Linked DNA regions of Solanum lycopersicum. The protein of the gene in region 3 interacts with the protein of the main gene of each other region in a pairwise test. Links are inferred from orthologs where the notes say so. Each region holds a gene or a part of one and is shown on either strand. Other genes may lie near its edges. The genes, in order: actin-related protein 2/3 complex subunit 3, protein BRICK 1 and protein SCAR2.

Region 1 (3,758 bases), on a different chromosome or scaffold from region 3:
ATGGCTTTTCAGAGGTAACAAAGGACATCCACAAGCTTTACTAATTCCTTCCTCATCAACGAAACTGGAATGATAAACCTGCAATTGAATCAAAATCAGGTTTCAGCACTCAATGGGACAAGTTGTTATGGGTTTAAACACCCTATAAAACAAAAATAATAGAGTGAATAAAATAGAAAGGACAAATTCATTAGAGTTGAATACAGAAAATTCATCGCCAAGAAAAATAGAGTCCTCAAACAACCCCGGATAGCAGATGCACATTAGGGAAGAGATCCTGAACGATCATAAGGACCATCAGGCGCTCCAAGACCAAGAGCATCCAAGGATTACACATCAAGAAGTTACAGATCTCTAAGAGATAATCAGAAGATGCTTGGAGAGCATGGCGAAGATTCGAGCAAAGCATATCATGTTTGAGAGTTCAAGGAGTGCTTGGAAGTGGCTGAAAAAAAAACTTGCTGGAAAGTAAAGTCCAGCACACGGCTAAGGCATTGGGTGTGGACAGAAGGAGCTAAGGCTGGACGCCTTGCACCGAAACACAAACACCAAAAGTTAAGCGGGCTGGAAATTACGACTCAGTGCAGCGGGCTGAACTTGAGGAATCGGTCATGTGTGACACACTGGTCTTACAAATTGGGAGGCTTTTCAGTTAGTGTAATTTATTCTTTTCTCAAACATAGGTAATATAATCTGCACATAAGGTTAAACTCGTTTTTAGAGAGGTTTTGATATAATTTTGAGATTGATATCTTTCTGAGGCTCAAACAGTCTTTGTCCGGACTGAATTTCAAAATTCTTTCAAGCTTGAACCTTGGTGGTAATTCTTTTTACTTCTAAATCTTTATATTTTTGGTTCTTTCTTTTCTGTTCTTCAGTTTTGGTTGGAATTTCTATCATGTTATTTCCATTAATCAGTGTGTAAGATACCGTACTGCATGCATGTATCCAAATCATATCTAAGTCCCCTACTCTAAATCAGTTACTGTCTTGTTTATCACCATTAGACTATATATAGACTTCTTGAAGTGAGTACAGATCAAAGAAAGACCACAATCCATCCCATATTGCCAATAACAGATCCTCATTGCCAAGATGTTTTAAAAACAGAATACAACATTTGTCATTTATTTATTCCTCTTTGAAGAAACCAAAGTGTAACTCAAAATAGTGGAATGAACACATGAAATGTAAGCCATGTAGCTCATTTAGTGCACCAAACCAGGAAAAGGGCCAAGTCGATCACCAAAGGAAAAGAAACAGCATGGTTTTCATCATGCGTGGAAGTTATCACACTATCAACTCAGAGAGATAATTGTCACCAAAGTAATGAAATATGTAAGCAAAAAAATGCTTTCTTTACCATTTTCCTTGCTGAAAATTTTGCTTCTTAGCACCAGAAGGCAATGTATAATTTCGAACCAAAGAGGCTATAACACCAATCTGCAGATGCACTCATCAAGTATCAGATAACTAAGATTAATTAGAACACAACTAACATGACTCCAATATAAGAGGACGTGCATCAAAATTTACGATTACTTCATCTACATCAGATAACTAGCTATGCATCTAAGTAATATTCAGGTAATCTTCCATATAGTCCAACATCTTCCGTCCTCTCTCCCCTTGTTCCTTTTTTATTTCCAGATCATCTATGCACTTTCATTCCCAACCATTCTATTCGTATCTTTTTAATTTGCGCTACTATAGAATTATCCATTAAACACAGGCAGAGCTACAGCTTCGACCAAAACCAGTAGGTTCGGCTCAAATCTTGTATTTGCGTTTAAGAATCCACCTAATATGCATAAATAAGTTATCAATAACTTAGTAAACACCGTTTTCTAGAATCCATACACTCAAATTCCTAGCTCACCCTTGATTAAACATGGTTTAGCAAATCATGTAAGTTATCTTACATTTCCCATAACATCAACTATAATGCCAGTTTTTCCCTCTTTAGTTACACATCAAAAAGTTCCCTATATCGCCATAAAAACACAAATATAGCATCTCATTTCCAATTTTAAGTTTTTTTTCAATCCGAATTCTATAAGCAAGATCTCCGACCTAGCTATTTCCCCTAATTCCCAAGCGAATTATATTAACTGAATTACGATATCAATTAAACAGTTTAAAGCATTTTGGAAAAAGCAATTATAATCACAGTAGTAACAATCACGGCAACAGTTTCAACAACAAAAACGCAATATGTTAAACATATGATAATAAGAGTAGATACGAAAAGATATGCAACAGATCGTAATTTTACGTACTGGATTTCCGAGAAGAGATAGTTAATTTCACCGGCGAGAGATGTTGAGATCGACAGGGATGGGTGATATTTTCCGGCGAAGATCAAAGAAGAAGTGAAGAGAGAATCGGGTATAAACGGTGATGGTAGTTGAAGATGGGCTTAACGATCAACTATTATTGGGCTCAATGTTTATGGGCCTCTTCTTAACCAATTTGAAGTTTAGTAAAATAGTACGATAATTGAGGTATAAGAAATAACGAGCGATAAAAGAAATTGAAGGACGAGAAACTATATGAGTAATGCTAGGACTACTAGTGTGGACGTATAGCAAGACGACACACACTACTGCCTACTAACTTCTTTAGCCTAATACGTGCCTTTCAAAACCTTATATCTAAAGTCGTATCCTTATTAAGTCGAAAATGTGTCATGTTCTATCTAATTACCTCTCTCCAAATACTTCTTCGACCTATCTCTACCTTTTCGAGGCCGCCCATTATCAACCTCTCACACCTTCATATTGGGACATTCGTGCAGCTCCTCTTTACATACATTAGCCTTGCTTTCTACATCTTGTCCTTCATCAAAATCACTCTCATGCACCTTGTCTCCGAATATCCTCGTTTCTAATCATGTCTTATTATTATTCCCACACATTCATCGCAAACATTTCATCTCCGTAGCTTTCATATTTTGAACATGAAAGTTCTTGACTAATCGACACTCTATCTCATACTATACGGTAGGTTTAACCATCACTTTTTGTCAAACTTGCCTAGCATTTTTTTCTTTCCTTATACTTTATGTCACGAATATACAGGTATCATATTGTTAAACAACGTAAATATATATGTATAATTTTTTTTTAATCAAGAAATATATCCATTTCAAATCACAAACTTAACGTTATATTTGCGCCTTTTCCATAAAGTATATATGATTTTTAAGGAGTCTAGATTTAATAATAGACTAATTGAAATACCCTACTTTATAATTCACCAATAATAATGATGACTACCTAATTTCTAAAAGGGGAATAATTCTAGGAATAATGCTATTCTATGAAAACTTTTGATAATGACATTGTTTTGAAAAAATTATTTCTCTACTTTTTCTTTTTTTTTAAAATTTGTGGTCTTCATTGTTCTAACTCTTAATCTTAAGAATAATCCATCACAAAATTCTCTAATTTCAATCAGTTCAACTTGCAATAATTTTGGGGCTTAGCTTTTTTCTAATTACTTTAGTTGATTTTGAATTGAAATATTGATATATTAACAAATTTAACATTCTTTTTTTTCTAGTAAAATTCAATATTTCAAAGGGAGAGTGTGGAAAGGGAATCTGTGCTAATGTTAACGTCAAAGTTATATAATTGAATTCAAATTAATAAGTTAAATATACCAGCTGTCTGGAATAAGTTTTTATGTATATTTAAATTAAAATTCTATTCGTAAATATAATGATATAAATCTATTTTGATTGTGACATTTATTGA
Region 2 (3,758 bases), on a different chromosome or scaffold from region 3:
GAGACCGTTAGGAGAAGAAAAAAATATTCTTCTCCAAGCTTTTCACAATACAAAAGTGAGGCATTGTAAGTTGAAGAAATGCATATTTCTATTGATGGATATTTGAAATCTTTAACTAATTCTGAGTTGTTTAAATTATATAACATTGTTAGACTGTTGTATCGTTTAAAGAACAGGTCAAGAAATATATTATTGAATCGATGTAAATTATGTCTCAGAAACTTGAATCTCCTTAAAAAAAACAGTGAAATTTTCATAGCTCATTCTAAATATATATTTATTCAATTTATTTTTTAACTACAACTTATATATTACAATAATTTAGTCAAGAAGGTATTGAAGAGATTAAACTCCTAGTAGAATAAACTCTTGTCCTCTGGCCGGAAGATACATTCTGATAGCCCATCTTTTGCAAACTATGTATTGATAACTGAATATATTATGAATCATATTAAGACTCCAAAATATATTATGGAGTATCCACCGTAGTTAGTTATTTTTAATCTTTGATTTACAAAATCATTTGTCAATGTATATATTATCGTTGTTATTAATAGGTGCATAGGTCCATCTCCTATATTTGATGAGAATGTATATTCCTATTATAAACGTGAATTTGTTTATCGATATTCAGGTTCAAGATTAAACACTAATTTTATATGGAGATAAGTATTGAAAATTTTATTTTCTTTTTCTTTTATATATCATTTCAACTTCTTTTCGTTCGTACTTTCTTCATATTATTGATTAAATCTGAATCTTTAGTAATGACAATTTCTATTCATACTGGATCGATTTTTCAAGAAAATATTAATATCAAGATTTTATTGAACTTTCTAATCAAAATAAGTTATATGCAATTACGTAATCTGCAGATAAATAATCTCATTATATATTGATATGGGGTAAAATTCTATTGTTATAATGATTCTAATCCCTCTTGTGAACAAGAGTTAAAGTGTCACTATGAATCGGGGTGTAGTATAACTATTGTGAGGAAAATCAAATGATGTATAAGGTGAAGGGATACATTTGATTGTTAACTGCGTCATGTCATGTGTTCCTATTTGATTTTTCATTAGAGTGAAGAATATATATATATTTTAATTTTTGAATGACAAAGACATTATTCAAAAATATGACAGATTATTTATATACCATTTATAATAGTTTGAATATATTTATCATTTTTTCTCTTTTAAAATAAGTGTAAGAAACATATTTAAATTATTTTTTTTGAATTTTATATCTAAAATATTGAACATATAAGTATGATATCAATTATACGTATTTCTCAAGCCAATATGAAATTAATATTTTAAGTTAAACGTATTTTCGACATTTATATCTATCTTCTTTTTTTTTAGAAAAAAACAGATTTGCAAGTAGAGATGCTTGCCTTTGAAGAACAAAGAAGGTAATCACTATCTCCTCCATTTTCCTTTAACCTAAAACTAATCATTGCAGAATTGTTTGTTCTCCTTCCGCATCTCTCTCTCTTTCTTCTCCGTTGATCGGAAAACAGTGACCAGAAATGGCTCGAGCCGGAGGAATAACAAACGCGGTGAATGTAGGCATAGCAGTACAAGCAGATTGGGAAAATCGTGAATTCATATCTCACATCTCTCTCAACGTCCGCAAACTCTTCGATTTCCTCGTCCAATTCGGTAAATTTCTCTAACTCATTCAATATCCTTAGGGCAAATATTCGGTTTTTGTTAAATTCCTGTTGTAAAGCGATTTCGGTGTTGATTTTGTTCTACTTTCAGAGGCGACGACGAAGAGTAAATTGGCGACACTGAATGAGAAGCTTGATACACTGGAACGTCGTTTGGAACTGCTTGAAGTCCAAGTCAGTACAGCAACTGCTAATCCAGCTCTGTTTAATGTTTGACATGATGCAAGCATTGTACTAATATTCTCAATCTGTAAGGTACTTCAATTCTGTATTATAAATAGATTGCTTTGTTTTGGAGATCATATTTGTGAAAAGTCCTTGTTTTATGAAAATCTCAATCAAATGTGCCTGAATTAGTTAGGTTAGCTATATGAATTTGTGTGAGATTCGGCTCTATTCAAGTACATTATGTTCGGATAGTTAATAATCAGTTGCAATTTTGTGGAAATGATTCATGGAATTTAGTAGCTGCAAGTATGCATACCTATTGGATCTACAGTTTCTTTCATCTAAGTTTTCAGTTCGCTAAAACTACTGTGTTGGTTCATTGCTAATGCACAATGGAGATTGTCTATGTGTAAATTGGAATGATAAGTTGATTTGAGGGGTCAAAGCATTACTATAAATTCTTCAAGACCATCTTAATCTTTTGACCTAGTTAATATGAAGCAAATGTTGTTTATACCTTCTGTAATGCCGTTTTGATATTCTTGCCTGTTTTCTTCATATGGCTTCTTGGAACTTTAATCTGCTGGATCTCAGTCTCTTATTTTTCTCTGTGAGTTGGTTCTTTTCTCATGTGCGATGGAGATTTATATGTGGAAATAGGAACATTGTGCTTGTTCATTTATAAAAGTTACTTTACCTTCTCTGGGAAAAAAATGATCGTTTTACCTTCTCATTTTTTTTCTACTAACTTTTTATGTAATACAATCATGTGAAATGTCATTCTTGTAGTCAGTAACCAATCAACGATGCTTAAACTAAAACTTGTTGTGTCATCTATGTGAATCCTCTAATCCATCCTGCTTCTTTGTAATACTAAAAGAATTATCTTTTGAAGTAAATTAGAGGTTTCTAGATCATACTTGGACATGGAAGCTTTAATTAGGACTTCCTGACTTGTAGCAGTTTTTAATACATCCTTGTTTTTAATACGTCCTTCGTTCCAATTTATGTGGCGTCGTGTGACTGGCACAGAGATTAAGAAATTAAAAAGACTCTTTGAAGTTGTGGTCTAAAACAAGTCAGAGATGTGTCTAGTAGGAAATCCTCATTAAGGGTAAAATAGAAAGTTTAAGTAAGTATGACATTCTGTCTAGGACAGACTAAAGGTGAAAGTAGACACATAAATTGGGACAAAATGAATAATCGTTTTCAATACAGAGTTTAACATAATGAAAGGTTGGACATGAGAATGAAATAGCTTGCTGGCCATATACCATACAGCTATATTCCAGACTGGTTATTGTTAACATGGTTGATTTATCTATTAAGGGTTACTTGGTATTGACTGCTATTGTTTACATGTTTTTCCCTTGCCTTCTTCATACTAGCCACCAGGTTCGTAGTTTAGATTGAGCACTGTTTATTTACAAAGTTATAAGATTATATTAATGTTAAATTTGTAATGGACTTATAGCCTATAGGAGTTAAGTAATAAGTTTTAGTTCTAGTTGGAAGTTGTATTATGTGGAAGTGGACAAGTCCATTAAGAAGATCTGGCAAATGATCCAGCTCGTAATTTTTGGTGTCTATGCGCAGAAAGGAACAAAAGATGTTTTGATGGGACTTCAACTCCTCACTGCTCTCTTAAGTCCAAGTGTTTGATAAATCTCTTTAGAAAGAGCAATCTATCCCCTGTAAATGGTGTCATTCCCCTTTAGATTGTATCAGCTCCCTCTCAGTGTCTTAGCAGCCTTGAGTTCTAGTTTCTTTTATCTGAGATAATTCAACTCTTGTCAAGAAAGAAAAGAAAGAGAATCTGAGATAATTCATTCACATATTTCTCAGATCTCTCAATCCAGAAACACCTTGAATCAAGTTATTTTCTAATTAGCCCTTCAACTTGATCACATTG
Region 3 (3,758 bases):
GGGTCTGTATAACGTTTCAGACATGCTCCAGCTCCAGCAACATCAAACCTGTTACAATACCATTAAGTTTGACAAACGCTGTTCTAACAAAGTTTAACACTCTATGCAACTAAAGCTGTCAAAAACAGAGCATACTTGTCTAGCAGAAACAAGCGAGGTGGACCTCTGCATTCTTCATATGAATCCATCACAAATCGAGGTAAATCTCCCCTTGTAACCATATTTTGGTCGATTCGCAGATTAGGATGCCAATCAGTACCTGAAATAACATTTGTATTACGAACACTTTCACTAATAGGTTATTACGAACACTTTCACTAATAGGTTATATCGGAACTCAATAAATTGCTTAAATACTAATATCCATTTTTTTCAGATGCAGAAACACTAATATTCATACACACCACATTCTATGTTCAGGAAAATAAAAAACAAATATTCCTTTCTATGCTCTCTCTTCCTCTCTCTTTCTCTCTCTCTGCACACACACACATGCACCACAAACATGTATAAAACAGTTAGGAAGGACAGTTATCTTTTGGTACAGAATTAAGAAGAAGCAAGAAGAGTTTATCAAAGTGCGCGAAAAAAGCAAGTATACTAAGTTGTCCAGAATTTGTATGGTGTTATTGGCCAATGAAATACTCTTAGCACTTACCAGCATTATAGAAGAAAGAAGAGTGATCGGTCTGTGAGAGGAATGCGCTCTCAATCAAAGGAAAATCAGCTTCAAGCTGCTTGACCCTGACCGTTAGACTATGACCTCTTGCAGCAGTTGCCATCACTTCTTCATGCAAGTCATGGAATATCTCAGAAGCAAACCTTCAATTTTACAATAAAAAAGAAAACCAACATTTTAGTCGCTACCACAATTAAACAGAACAACTGTAGTACATTCTTTACAAAATAAAGTGATCAGGAATCACTTACAGGGAGAGTGTATAAGCAAAGAGACCCATATTTGGCACCACATTTTAATGATACTACCAAATTTTTATGCCTTACAATTAATTGATCAGCAACTCAATAGATTAAGCTCTACATACTCTGAACATTTTTTAACAAGCATACAACAACAACATACCCAGTTAAATGTACAAGTGAGGTTTGGGAAGGTTAAATCATAAACGTATGCAGACCATACCACTACCTCATGGAAGTAGAGAGGTCGTTTACAAAAGACCATTGGCTCAAATGCAACAAATCCAGATACAAAGAAGAAAGAGACAATGAAAAGAATATAGCAGGTAACAAGGAAACAATGCAAAGTCTACCAAAAAGGAGCCAAAAAAAACAATTAAGTAATGTGATAACCGAAACACAATAAATAACATACTAGGATAGATTGCAAACTACAATAAACAATGATAAAAATTTTTAAAAAAAACAAGAACTACAATAATATAACTAGTATCATGGCAAACATCAGTCATCCTAAGCAATACAACAGTAAACTCTACTCACCTTCAGCCCTAATAGATGTCCTCCACACCCTCCTTTCTAAGGTCATATCCTTGGTAACCTAAAGCTACAGCATATCTTGTCTTATCACATTTCCCAAATACTTCTTCCCTCTCTTCATACCCTCTATTTACACCTCTTCACTGGGGCATCTACACGTCTCCTCTTCGTAAGTCCAAACCATCTCAATTCCCTCATCTTCTAAGAAGCATAATCTAGATTAAAATAATAAAAAAAACAGGAACTCCGTATGAATTTACCCAGAACAGAACTACTTGTAAATGCTTAATCAAACAGCCGAAAAAAGCAACAAATAAAAAAAAGTAGTCACATTATACAAATGCAATAATTGTCAAAAAAAACAACAAAAAGAAAATCTACAATGCAATCAAATAACATTTCAAATAATGGACTCACAAATTCAACTTTCCATTTTCAATAACTACAAAGCATCTTCCAACTACCAAATTTCAACAGATTTCAATACTGATTATCTCAACTCGCATATTTAACTATATCGATCCAAAATTACGAAAATAAAGGTGGATTGAAACATAAAAATCCAGAAAGCATTCACTTGTAAAACGACAAAATTCTAAAATCAGCCAATTGAAAACGAAAAACGCATCAGATAAAATAAAAGCAAGAAAAACAAAAAAGGAGATACTGACTCGGCGAGGTCACCAAGCTGACGCAAAACACCAACAAGTCCAGCCATGGCAACGCCTTCAAGTAGAGCTTCTGGATCATCTTTATCAGCAGCTTTGTACAGTTCCGGATCAGCCAAACTGTACTCGTTCCGAATCTGATACCTATTCACAGGCATTTTCAACAAAATCTAAACCCTAATTCATCAAACGTTCTCTTCAGAATATCAACATTACATTTTTGCCATTGAATTCATGCACATGGAGTATCAATGGAGTCTCTGTAAAGCTGTATCTTCGTTGGTAATTGTAGCTATAGAGAGAGAAAGAGTTGAGGCGAATGTGAATGTACAGTTGAAAGAAGAGGTGAGGACTCAACAGAGAAGAGGGTCGGTTGACTATATTAAATACTCGTTTCTACTGCTCTTTTATCTTATATATTGTTCATTATTCAATTTGTATAACATATTTTTTAGATGGTTATAATATTGAAATATAAATATCGAGTAAATTAATTGATTTCAATTTTAAAATAACAAATAAAAATTTCTTAACTGATAAAGTAAGTTGATATACCTGTAATTTCATAATTATTGTTATATAAATATTTAATCTTAACAACTTATATCATCAATTAAATTACTGAAGTTGAAATTAAAGTAACTAATATTATTATAAAAATAATCAATTACCATTATTAGGAATCACAAATTTTAAACTTTTTAATTTATAATTATATATAAATATTTTATCTTAAATTTTTTAGTTTGAATCATTATTTAAATTGTTGAATAAAAGTGAATTTATACCACTATAGTTAAAATAATTTAGAGAAAATCAAAACAATCAATTATATTAAATTAAAGAAAATGTATTCTTTCAATACACATGTGATAGTGATAAACTGAAACTACACGTTAGCCAGTGGAGAAGCTTTTGCTTGAAAATTATACGATTTAGTTATATTAAAATTTTAATCATATATGAATATTATATATATTTAGTGGAGTATTATTTAAAATTTTATTTTCAACAAAAGTAAGAGATTTGGTTCGAATTCACCAAATCTGGTGCAAGCTATTAGATAAAAGCACAAACTTTACCTATAAAAATTACAATTTTCATGATAAAAATTACCTATGAACTTTTTTTTTGGTTACTGATTGTAGATGAAAGTTTCAACTACTATTCAGTTTAATTTTAATATATCTGGTTGGAGACTTAAAATGTTTGTTTCACTAATTATATTTTTTTAAATGGTGTTAATAATTTAATTCATATTTTATACTTGTGTGTATATTTTTAAATATAACCTGGGAATTTTCGGAAAGACTCAGACAAATAAAATACGGTGGACAAACGCGGCTGAGCTTGTCATGCCTTTCATTGTGGGCCTCCTTAATTCTATACTTCTTCTTCTGTCCGCTTTTAATTATTATGTCATATATTATAAAGTTAATTTATAATTTTTATAATTAATAAGATTAAATAAATTTATATTTTAAATAAAAATATATATATTCAGAAATTATATAAAAAATAATACAAATTATAATTTTTATATATATTAATATGACTTAAAAATATATTATAAAATATTAATAAAATGATTTATAAATTAACTCTTGAAAAAAAAACTATAACAATTAT

Evidence for each region.
Region 1: the proteins of protein SCAR2 (region 3) and actin-related protein 2/3 complex subunit 3 interact in a two-hybrid assay, tested with the Arabidopsis thaliana proteins (2 studies listed by BioGRID, with this or other methods). The link is inferred for Solanum lycopersicum from reciprocal best matches to the Arabidopsis thaliana genes SCAR2 and ARPC3.
Region 2: the proteins of protein SCAR2 (region 3) and protein BRICK 1 interact in binary tests that used the Arabidopsis thaliana proteins (3 or more experiments, as listed by UniProt). The link is inferred for Solanum lycopersicum from reciprocal best matches to the Arabidopsis thaliana genes SCAR2 and BRK1.

The regions. Positions count from the first base shown.
Region 1 is NC_090806.1:3,894,586-3,898,343, reverse strand, and holds the start of actin-related protein 2/3 complex subunit 3, read right to left. Parts: upstream 2,456-3,758; 5' UTR 2,280-2,455; intron 1,444-2,279; 5' UTR 1,367-1,443; coding exon 1,364-1,366; intron 79-1,363; coding exon 1-78. UniProt on the Arabidopsis thaliana protein: Functions as a component of the Arp2/3 complex which is involved in regulation of actin polymerization and together with an activating nucleation-promoting factor (NPF) mediates the formation of branched actin networks.
Region 2 is NC_090802.1:8,363,958-8,367,715, forward strand, and holds the start of protein BRICK 1, read left to right. Parts: upstream 1-1,316; 5' UTR 1,317-1,417; exon of another isoform or gene 1,418-1,525; 5' UTR 1,526-1,534; coding exon 1,535-1,667; intron 1,668-1,769; coding exon 1,770-1,894; 3' UTR 1,895-1,933; exon of another isoform or gene 1,934-2,126; intron 2,127-3,758. UniProt on the Arabidopsis thaliana protein: Involved in regulation of actin and microtubule organization. Part of a WAVE complex that activates the Arp2/3 complex.
Region 3 is NC_090808.1:7,931,370-7,935,127, reverse strand, and holds the start of protein SCAR2, read right to left. Parts: upstream 2,520-3,758; 5' UTR 2,288-2,519; coding exon 2,133-2,287; intron 823-2,132; coding exon 659-822; intron 260-658; coding exon 136-259; intron 49-135; coding exon 1-48.